Caenorhabditis elegans: one gene and its partners. The protein of the gene in region 1 interacts with the protein of each later gene in a pairwise test. Each region holds a gene or a part of one and is shown on either strand. Other genes may lie near its edges.

Region 1 (3,753 bases):
CTTTTTGTGTCAGGTTTTCAGAAATCATTATTGCTTTTAAATGAAAAGTGTTAATCTTACAAATTTTTGAGAAAAACAATTTGGAAAAAAACCCCAGGAACATGATTTGAAGGCTAGAAAACTAATTCTCTAAGTTTCCCCGGCTCGAAAAAAATTCGTTCAATATTTATTTTCCATCACTTTGCATAATTTACAGTACTCACCAGGCCAGCGAAATTCATGAAATTGTACAATTTTCTTGTTGTTTTTCCAACAAAATTTAAAAATAACCCGGACTAGTCGAAAACAAGGCAGTCGTGGGGTACTGTAAATTAGGCGGCCTACCAAGTTGAGCCTTCGCCAAGTAATCCTCTATTTCCCTGTCACAACCGATAATGGGGCAATGTCTTGGAACCCTGTGCACTGTAGATTCAGCTACAGATAATATTTCCAGCGTCTATCAGCTGGCAGGCCCAGTTGCGGTGAAAGAGAGCCCACGTATTGCTGAACGGGACCCAAAGGTAATATTTTTCGTTTTTTTTTCAGAGTCTTATGTTTTCAATCTTTTTTGCTGAGAAACCTTCGAAAAAAAAAACAAATCTAAGCTTAAGTCTAAACCTAAGCCTATGCCTGGAGACACAAGCCTAAGCCTACGCATAAGCCTAGGCCTAAACCTAAGCCTACACCTAAGCTTAAGCCTAAAGGTTAGCCTAAGACTAAGCTCACACCTAAGCCTAAGACTCAGCCAAAGCCTAAGACTCAGCCTAGGCCTCAGCCAAAGCCTACGCCTAAGTCTATGCCAATTTCTAAGTCTATGCCTTTGACAATACCTAAACGTATGCCTATACCTAAGCTCAAGAAATTTTCAGGTCAAAATCTCTGTGAATCCCGAGGAGGAAAATGTTGAACGCCCCTGTGTACTTTACTCGAAAAGTAACGAGATTATCAAAAAACCGGATATTTTTGAGGTGAGAATATTCTTAATCACGGGCACGGATTTTCTCAAATTTATAAATTTTTAGGAAATCTACAAGCGCACACCGATCACCCTCTCGAATAACGGTAGAATTGACGTTGCCGAGGTTTTTTAAACATATTTTTTTCAAAATTACATTTATCAAGAACTGAATTAATGAATTCAGCTTCCCGCCGGACAACGAGTCATTGAAGTAGAGAACAACGAGGTTCGCGACAAGTATAAAAAAACGTTGTACGAGATTCGGAGAAAATGCAGGGAACTTCAGAATTTGGGTGCTGAGGATGAGGTAGGCGGCCTTCAATGGCGTTTGAGTTAACTCAAGAAAAATCTGCGATTTTTCCAGGAAACCGGTGAAATCATCGATACTCTTCTTATTCTTTACAAGGACTTCTTCTTACTAACCACGTGGAAAATCGATAAGTACGCCCAGTTGAGAAAAAATGCCGCAGTTCAAGCTTACAACTCGCTACCCAAGCTTAGAGCCGACCCCGCTGAATTCCGATGCCACGTGGAGTTTCAGTATCGCGTGGCAAATGAGCTATGGGAGCATTTCAAGGAGACATATATCCACAAATATGAAGCATGTAATTGGGCGGAGAGGGCGAAAGTGAAGGAATGGGATCTTTTGGACAGCCAAGTACAGACGCCGAATGTGGAGTGGGATTATCTTGGCGCGCATGGATATATATGAATAATTGATTTTTATTTTAAATTTTTGATCCATTTTTGATTTGATAAAAATGTTATTAATACAATACAATGCGAATTAAATTAATATTTCGCGCGAGAAACGCGCCAACGCACCGAAAGTGCGCAAACGAGAAGCTTTGCGCGTTTCTGGTGCAGAAAATTCTGCATTATTTTTTTGTTGATTTTTCCTCATTTTGTGTTGAAATCCATTGTTTTTTCTCGGTTTTTCTCTGATTTTTATGTTAAAAACAATTATTGAAATGTCAGATCAACCCAGCTGTCCCACCGAAGCCGGTAGTGGTTTTAAAACTGGAAAAATACATGGAAAAAGTAAACGAGGAGCGGGATGCGGTTTTCGAGGTAGAAAACGGGATTTTATATATTTAATGCTAGTTAGAAAAATGTATATTCCAGGATCACATCGGCGATCGCCGTCGAAGTGTCCGGTCACTTCTGGAGGAGGCATTTGCAGATGAAATGGAGAAAACTAGCTATGACGTCGAGGTTGCCGACACTCCACAACCGCATATTCCAATACGTTTCCGTCATCCACCAATCGCCGGACCAGTTCATGATGTTTTCGGAGACGCGATTCACGACATTTTCCAGAAAATGATGAAAAGAGGCCAGGCGGTCGACTTTTGTCACTGGGTGTCTCACTTGATCGCCACAGAAATTGACGAGAAATTCAGTGAAGTTGCGTTCAGAGATGTTCAGTATAATCCTGATATTTATGTTACCGATAGTACCACAGGTAATTATTAAATGTGCAAAATCTGCTATTAATTTAGCAGACCAAGCATGGGCCTGCTAAATATTCAGCAGGCCTATCCCCATTGGTCTGCTAAATATTTAGCATACCTAACTTGGGTCTGCTAAATATTTAGCAGACCCATCCCCATTGGTCTGCTAATTATTTAGCAGACCAACTATGGGTCTGCTAATTATTTAGCAGACCACCTATGGGTCTGCTAAATATTTAGCATACCTACCATGAGTCTGCTAAATATTTAGCAGACCTATCCTCATTGGTCTGCTAAATATTTTTAGCTGGCCATTCCCCATTGATCTGCTAATTTTTGCAAAAATAAAACTTGTTAAATAGAATTTTTAAAAAATCTTCAAAAACTCAACACTTCTGTTCATCAATACAACTTATTTTCAGAAGCCAAAAAGCTATTCAACGACAAAATTTGGCCGGCGATCGACAAGATTCTCCAGCAAAACGCCGAAACGTGCCCGATTCTGTCTGAAAAGTGGTCTGGAATCCACGTGTCGGGCGATCAACTGAAAGGGCAACGTCACAAGCAAGAAGATCGGTTTTTGGCGTATCCTAATGGGCAATATATGGATCGTGGAGAGGTTTAGGAGGATTTTAGGCCTGGAAAATTACTGAAAAATGAAATTTTTAGGATCCAATTTCGGTGTTAGCGGTGTTCGATGGTCACGGTGGTCACGAGTGCTCTCAGTACGCAGCCGGGCACCTTTGGGAGACATGGTTGGAGGTTCGAAAATCGCGAGATCCTTCAGATAGCCTCGAAGATCAGCTTCGCAAGTCGCTGGAGCTTCTCGACGAACGAATGACTGTCAGAAGTGTGAAAGAGTGTTGGAAGGGTGGAAGTACAGCTGTCTGCTGTGCAATCGACATGGATCAGAAGCTTATGGCGCTGGCGTGGCTCGGTGACTCACCCGGATACGTCATGTCGAACATTGAATTCCGTCAGTTGACACGTGGACACTCGCCATCCGATGAACGGGAAGCTCGGCGTGTTGAGGAAGCTGGCGGCCAGCTTTTTGTGATTGGAGGCGAATTGCGGGTGAACGGAGTTCTAAATCTCACCCGAGCACTCGGAGATGTTCCTGGACGGCCGATGATCTCTAATGAACCGGAAACGTGTCAGGTGCCTATTGAAAGCTCGGATTATCTGGTGCTCCTGGCTTGTGATGGAATTTCTGATGTTTTCAACGAGCGTGACCTGTACCAGTTGGTGGAGGCATTTGCGAATGATTATCCTGTTGAAGGTTAATAAAAATTCTTGGAGAAAAACTAAATTTCCAAAGCCAAAAACTATTTTTTCGTTTTTTTTTTCTGAAAAAAAATCAGA
Region 2 (3,753 bases), on another chromosome or scaffold:
TTTGAACTGGGTCGCTCGAAACGAGTCTTTTTCTCGACGCTCTAAAATCTGCGTCTCAAATTTTGCGCACTTTCATATATTTTCTTAGCATTTCTTCACTTTCTAATAACATCTGGCGATCCCGATTTTCATAAGTTTCTCCACTTTTATTTCTAATATTTGGTCTCTACCGCTTTGAAAATATGGAGAAGTTCATAGTAAGTCTGAAAAGCTAGGATCTACGTTTTTCACGTGGTTTTCCAAATCAAAAAAATTTAGGATTTACTAGAGTTTGGCTCAGCGGAGCAGAAACGAAAAATGGGTCGACCATCAAAGATCCCTCCTTTCTCACATTATGACGCGTATAGAAGATCTGACATCGACTTTTTCATATCATTGTTTTCTGGAAGAGAAGAATTATACAGTCCGTGCAAGAAGAATAGTGATTTTCGACAGAAAGCGTTTTATATTATAGAGAAAAAATGTGGACATTTTCTTGCAATGAGGAAAGGTTAGTTTTTAGTTTTGAAAATGTGATTTACGAAAAGAGAAAGACTGTTTTTGATTTGGACTGTAAACATGTGAACAGGAATAAACATGTTTATGAACACCACATCAACTTACAGGTAGAAACGCCGAAAAGTTATGGTTATACCTATTCAATGATTTTGAAAAAATGATTAGAAATGGTGGTGATAAGAATGATGAGAAGTCCAAGTCTATAGTTCCGTTCTACGATTGTCTACAATTCCTTATTCCTTATTTGGAAAAAACAGACAGGTATGAAATGATCTAGATTTCCGAAACGGAAACCTTTTTCCAGCTTGTCAAAATTGACATTAACGACTTGCAATGCAGAAGCCGATGATCAACAAGTAAAAGCAAAAAAGCCAAAGATTGAGCATGAGCTATCAGAAGACAAGTTGAATGGTCTGAACTGTGATTTAAAGTGTATGTAAATTACAAGTAATTTTTCAGATGACTGGCTTCAAAAAGTTATAGATACGGTTACATGTCAGCAATCTACAAGTTGTACAAGTATACAATTGAATTCTTCGGCTCCTTCAACCTGCTCTGCAAAAACACCTAACTCAACAGCAAATCTACCAACTTCTGAAAAACACGCAGACATCATAGCCTATGTAACAAACTTTTTAGAAGATGTGCCAAACGACAAGTTGATGCTTCACAAAGTTCGATTATTCCAGTTTATCGAAGAAGAAAAGTCTAGGTTGAAAGAAGAAAGTAAATAAATTGAAAGGAATGATAAAAAAGAGTATAGATTGGAAGTGATAGTCTATGACTAGAAAGCGAGACACTCTTGTTTGTTTATTCATGATCATGGTCTCTCCTATATGAAACCACTGAATTTTTGATCGCAAATACTTTTTTCATGGAATGAACAGGTTACTACGAAATGCTCCGAATATCTTCTGATTGTGTGATCTATATAAGAAACATTAGTGAGCATATAAAAACGGTATCTTAGTTATTGAAAAATTTACTTGAATGCTAAACTGGGCTTATACTTTCGACTGACTTTCATCGTACACTATGGAATTGATATCTAAAAAATAAGATGACGTGGTGGTTGGTTAACCAACCATGTTAACCAACCAACCATGTACAACTAATCAAAAAGTAAACGTATAATACCCGATCGCAACGAAACAACTTTCGTGTTTATCAGGTCACCTGCTGAGAAACTTGCCAAATTTTTCAGTGTTTCACTACCTTTTGGGTCGACCGACATCTGCGCGGCACTCGTTGCTGGTTGTTTCGAATTCGAATTCGCCGTGTTCCCCATCACAGTCAAGTAATGATGGGGAAACCGATGAGATAACGAATACACCGTTCAAAAGGTAAAGGTCACGTTTTCGATCGAATTTTGCGATCAAATTGAAAAAAATAAGAAGAAGAAGAGATGGCAGAACATACACGTGATGAATTCAAAAAGGCAGAAAAATAGAAAAAAAAAGAGTATAAACACCACTTTATGAATAAAGCCATGCCAGTTTCTAATAGCAACGAAGGGAAAACAACGAGAAAATGGATAGAGGAAAAAGGGAAAAGGAGAAGGTGTAATTATAGAATCGATTTGACTGGGAAGCAGCGGCGACTCGTAGATTTACAATAGTAAGATGTAGAGAAACGAGACTCTTTTTTTAATCTCAAAAATATGTATTTAATTATACATCTTGAAAATTTTGCAGATTTTTTTAGAGTTAGCCTACAGTACTCGGTCTCGAAACGGCCAAAACTATTTAAATACCGTATCCGCAAGTATTTGTTTTTAATTTTTCATGATCTCCTACAATTTTCCAAAAATGTATCGGTTTTTCCTTTAAAAATGTGGAATTTTAAGTGAAACTATTACAACAGATACAGGTGAAAATTGCGAAACACTTTTGGGTGCGGTAGCTGAAAAGTTTCCATCGTGCCGAGACCGGCTACCGTATTTTCGCATTGAAAATCTCAAACTTCTGCAAATGGGTAGTACCAAAATTGTGTCTCGAAAATGATAAAATATGCCAGAATCGAATCAAAAATGATTCCTAAGTCAACGTTTGAGCCCTCTTATGACATTTTCAGACGATGACAACTAGAATAAACTGTCATTTGACAGATGACTAATGGATACAAAGAGCCTTTTTGCCAAAAGTGTGTCACCATTTTCGAAATAAAATTCTCATTTTTCTCTATACTTTGTTCAGAAATCTACAATGATGTTTACGTAATACAAATGTGACGTCAATTCTATACAGATGAAAAAGTGATTTCGCAATGTGTATTGCTAACTGTTGGAGGTATTCCATTCGCTGGCCGAAAATAACGATGAGCATGAACATGAATTTGTTTGTGTCTTCTTCGTTTATTCATGAATCAAAAATTTGAAAGTAATAGCAAAAAAATATCAAAATCCGAGAGAAAACATGATTTTCTGGGAGGGGAGAAGAGCAACTTCGTAGACAATAGTTTGAATAGAAGTCACTACTCGGAACCGTCATACGAGAAAAATGAGAAGAAAATGTGAAGGAAATACAGAATTATTACAGAAAATGAGAAGATTTTTTTAAAGGGGCTTTGGGTTTCCATTAGAAGTATGAAATTTCCATTGTACAAGTATACACATTCGTCGGCGGATAATACATGACACTTTATTCCTTCTTTTCGACCTCTCCTCCATACACACTTTCGTCACTGTAGGCGATGTAAAGGAACAAGTCTTCCTCGTGATGGTCCTGTAATAAAGAAAAGGGTTAATTAAATGAAAATAAACGACTGGTTAGTTACCTGGTAGAGTTGTCCCATTGTGGTCATGGTTTGTGGAATGACATTGTTGACAAAGAAGAACAGAGCATCTTCTGGACGAAGTTGGATGCGTTTTCTGATGAGGAAGTAGAACTGTCCAACAGTAAGATCGGATGGGACCAAGTACTTCTTCTTATCCAAGTCATGGAGCTTTGACTTTGGTGCTTTCTCAACAATCACTGGAATACGGTCTGGGTACTTTCTGCGGATCTTGTCTCCTTCGGCACGACGCTTCTCAAAGTTGTTCTCCTCCTTGTAAGCCCACTTCATTTTGATTCGAAGGTTAGTGTGAAGAGAAGGTTACTGGAATAAAAATACTTTAAATCACAGAAAAATCATAAAAGAACCATGAGAGAAGAAAGGTGTAACAAGTGAGAGTGAATGAAGGTGACATCACATGGGTTTTGAGAGATTGACCGATTCGATAACACATTGCGAAATCTATATAAAATTGACGACGAG
Region 3 (3,753 bases), on another chromosome or scaffold:
TAAGCCTAAGCCTAAACCTAAACCTAAGCCTAAGTTTGATCCTATACCTAAGCCTAAGATTAAGCCTAAGTCTAAACCTAAGCCTAAGCCTACGCCAAGGCCTAAGCTTAAGCCTAAGTCTAAGCCTAAGCCTAAGTCTAAGCTTAATCCTACGCCCAAGCATGAGCCTAAGCCTGTATTTGGTAAAAAAAGCTAGTATGAACCTTTCAGATTTTTTAATTTCTCTCAAAAATTGGCAAATATTGAATTTTGAAATTCGTGCGAAAACTTTAAAATTTTCGATCAATTTAGTTATCCGAAAAAATTATACCTTCAAAAAAATTAAATTTTAACTTTCGCGCTAAAATATTTTTCGGTCATGACGTCATTTCTCTTCCACCTCCCCTAAACTTCAGGTTCCGTAGTTGCCGGAGTCGTTGGCTTAACCATGCCTAGATACTGCCTATTTGGAGATGCAGTTAACACAGCAAGCAGGATGGAGAGTAATGGAAAACGTAGGTTTTGCTACGTGGCCGTGAAAAATGAGAAACTCGGCCACCAATTTTTTTTCAGCCGGCAGAATCCACGTATCATCGGAGGCAAATCATCTGCTAACACACGTGGTTGGAGGGTTCCGAACCGAAGAAAGAGGCGAGGTGATAATTAAGGGAAAAGGTGTTATGAATACGTATTGGCTGCTGGGAGAAAACGATTCGGTGCCTGTCAAGTCTAATATGAGGAAACGGGAAAATACTCCGTCGATGGCGAGAAGTATTACACCGGAAATTTGATTTTTTTAATTTCATTTTGGATTTTTAAAATAAAGGTTTTTTTAACTGTAGATACTGTAGAGGTACTGTAGAGGCATTGTAGGGTTACTGTAGAGGTACTGTAGGGTTACTGTAGGGATATAGTATGGTTAGAACCACATCAGTGCAGGGGTATGTGATGGGGGATATGGTTACTGTTGGATACTGTAGGGTTACGGTAGGGTTACCGAAAGGGTACTGTAGTATTACGCTAGGGAATTCTGTAGGGGTACTGGGGGGTTACTGTAAGTTCACTGTATAGCTACTGTAGGGTTACTGTAGGGAAAGATTTGGGGTAATGTAGGATAACTATAGAGTTACGGTAGAGGTATTATAGAGTTATGTTAGGGAGCACTGAAGGGGTACTGTAGAATTGCTGTTGGGTTACTGTATAGGTACTTTTAGATTACTGTCAGAGTGATGTGTGGTTACTGTAGGGTTATTGTAAAAGTACTGTAGGATTGGTGTGGGTTACGGTAGGAAATACTGTAGAGTGGGAACTTTGAGTTGACGCCTCCCGTTGAGGTCCTCTATGATCACTGTTTAGTTACTGTACGGGTACCGTAGGGTTACTGTAAGACTTCTGTGAAAATATCGTGAAGTTATGTCATAGATGGGCTTCTGTAAGGATACTGCGGGGGTCTTTGAAAAAATGGGTACAGAAAAATGGTAATTTTCAGCTTACTGTATGGTTACTGTAAGATTTATTGTAGAATCAAAACTTGCATAGGCTTTGAGGGTACTGTACAAATTACTAATAACAACTCAGGCTGCTCATATATGGAAGTATAGAAGATGGGAAACCAGCACAGCAAAATTTTGATTTTTTGAAATTTTCTGAGCAGAAGCTGGAAAATTTCAATTCCGAGACGTCCATCTGATGACGAATCGTCTGAAATTTCAATTCAATAGCATCAATTACTCATAAATTTTCAATTTTTCTTCATGCCCAATACATTTTTCAAACAATTGTCTTTTGTTCAATTTGTGTGCTATAAAACCTTCTCGAGCTATCACCAAAATTCATTCAATCATCGAAAAATGCTCTTCTTCCTCATTTTTCTGGGTCTGATGGCCACTGCTTCAGCAAAAGGTAAGACTTTTTAGATTTTTATTTGAAAAAAAACTTTTCAGCGGGCCGCTGCAACGAAGGTGACCAGGACGCTCATTTTGATTCGAACAAATTCTGGAAATGTGAGGGTGGGCGGTGGATTGTTGTAACTTGTCAGATTAACTATTTTTATGATGCTACAGTAAGTATTTTATTCTGGGGCTTTGGCCTAGGTGTAGGTTTGGGGCTTAGGCTTAGGCTTAGGCTTATGCTTAGGCTCAGCCTGGGAGTAGGGTATCTTCAACTAAACGTTGTCAGAAGATTCGCCAGTTTTTCTAAAACATTTTTTTTCAAAAAATGCACAAAATTCCGATTTTCCAGAATTTTTTAAAAATCCCGAAAAAATGTATTCATGGTGCATCGACTTTTTTTTTTGAAATTTCACCGGAAAATGTAGAGTTTTCGTGAACAATTCTAGAAAAACAGGCTTTCAGAATTTGCAGATAAATAGTGCAAAAAATTAGATTTTTATGGGTAGTTCTAGAAAAACGGGCGGTAAAGAAAATTCATACATTAAAAAAAAGAGCCTGAAAATATAGAAATTTGTGCTTTTTTGTTGGAAATTTGTCAGCCAAATCTGAATTTTTTGCATTTTCTATTCAAAAAGTGCAGAAAATTTCGATTTTTTAGCTTTTAAATTTTTTATTAAATCATGGTGCATTGACTCGGAATTTTTTGAAAATTCACGGAAAAATGTAGAGTTTTCGAGTAAAATTCTAGGAAAACAGGTCTGCATAATTGGTAGATAATTTGTGCAAAAAAATTAGATTTTTATGGATAATTCAGGAAAATCATTTTCTCTGAAAACTAAAAAAAAATAGTTTTTATTAATCACGGGGTTCTGGCCTTCCTCATTGAATTTTTCGCGCTCCATTGACAATCGCCTGCCGGACTGGGAAAGTCGTGTACTCCACACGGACAAATACATTTAGTTTTACAATTAAAATCGAGCCGCGACGCGACACGTAACGCGCCGTAAATCTACCCCAGATATGGCCGAGCCAAAATGGCCTAGTTCGGCAAAAACTCTTCCATTTCAATTTATGAGGGAAGCCAGAAATCCGTGATTAATCATGGTGCATCGAAAAATTTTAATTTGAAAATTCGCCAAAATTCGCTAAAAATTTGAATTTTCAGAGAAAACTTCAGAAATTCACAGATTTTTTCTCAAAAATGTTTCACCAGATTTTCTAAAACTTTTTTTTTTTCACTTTCGCGTCAAATTTTCTGAAAATGCAACTTCTACCCAAGGCTCACATTGAGGCTCCGCCTATAAAATGGTTCAAAATTTCCAGACTGGCTTCTGCTACCTGTCCCGATTCCCAACTACCCGTCCTTACCCACCACCATTCCCGACTCGCCCCCGACCAACTCAGGGCCACCGCTGCTACCCTGGCACTAGAATCCCGTACCCACATGACCATACCATGTTCCTCGAGTGTTCAACTGATGGAACAGAGTATATTAAAAGATATTGCCAGCCTGATGCGGTTTTCGTGCAACGGGAGAACATGTGTGTGGCCATTCAGACCACGTACCGCCCGACGAGAACATGGCCGACGACTACAACTACTCCATACTATGGTGCATGCAAGGAATCTGCCGGTCATGATGGGTATAAGCCGGATGTTTACAATTGCAAGAATTTCTATCAGTGTGCTTCAGGTAAGAGGCTCCTACAGTACCCTCAAAGCCTATTCGGTACTCTTACAGTAATCTTAGAGTAGCATCAATTTTGGTTCTACAGTAAATCTTACAGTAACCCTACAGTAAGCTGAAAATTACCATTTTTCTTACCGTTTTTTAAGGCTTCTGCAGTATCTTTACAGAAATCTTACAGTAACCCTACTAACT

Evidence for each region.
Region 2: the proteins of fem-2 (region 1) and C32D5.8 interact in a two-hybrid assay, tested with the Caenorhabditis elegans proteins (one large-scale study listed by BioGRID).
Region 3: the proteins of fem-2 (region 1) and ule-1 interact in a two-hybrid assay, tested with the Caenorhabditis elegans proteins (one large-scale study listed by BioGRID).

The regions. Positions count from the first base shown.
Region 1 is NC_003281.10:632,789-636,541, reverse strand, and holds the start of fem-2 (Protein phosphatase fem-2), read left to right. Parts: upstream 1-1,915; 5' UTR 1,916-1,969; coding exon 1,970-2,008; intron 2,009-2,062; coding exon 2,063-2,402; intron 2,403-2,813; coding exon 2,814-3,010; intron 3,011-3,060; coding exon 3,061-3,670; intron 3,671-3,753. Other genes in the region: eakr-4 (EAK-4 Related), read left to right, coding at 375-500, 849-947, 1,002-1,061, 1,122-1,244, 1,302-1,649. UniProt on the Caenorhabditis elegans protein: Dephosphorylates auto-phosphorylated Ca(2+)/calmodulin-dependent protein kinase unc-43/CAMKII in vitro. Involved in the regulation of sex determination.
Region 2 is NC_003280.10:6,344,126-6,347,878, forward strand, and holds the start of C32D5.8 (protein-disulfide reductase), read right to left. Parts: upstream 1,798-3,753; 5' UTR 1,787-1,797; coding exon 1,714-1,786; intron 1,391-1,713; exon of another isoform or gene 1,233-1,390; coding exon of another isoform or gene 958-1,232; intron 910-957; coding exon of another isoform or gene 803-909; intron 760-802; coding exon of another isoform or gene 606-759; intron 491-605; coding exon of another isoform or gene 259-490; intron 198-258; coding exon of another isoform or gene 183-197; exon of another isoform or gene 1-182. Other genes in the region: txt-18 (transcellular chaperone signaling (x)cross tissue), read left to right, coding at 183-197, 259-490, 606-759, 803-909, 958-1,232; Protein lgg-1, read right to left, coding at 3,138-3,221, 3,274-3,561.
Region 3 is NC_003279.8:2,220,370-2,224,122, reverse strand, and holds the start of ule-1 (Chitin-binding type-2 domain-containing protein), read left to right. Parts: upstream 1-1,809; 5' UTR 1,810-1,829; coding exon 1,830-1,881; intron 1,882-1,922; coding exon 1,923-2,041; intron 2,042-3,194; coding exon 3,195-3,564; intron 3,565-3,753. Other genes in the region: Receptor-type guanylate cyclase gcy-17, read left to right, coding at 396-494, 553-770.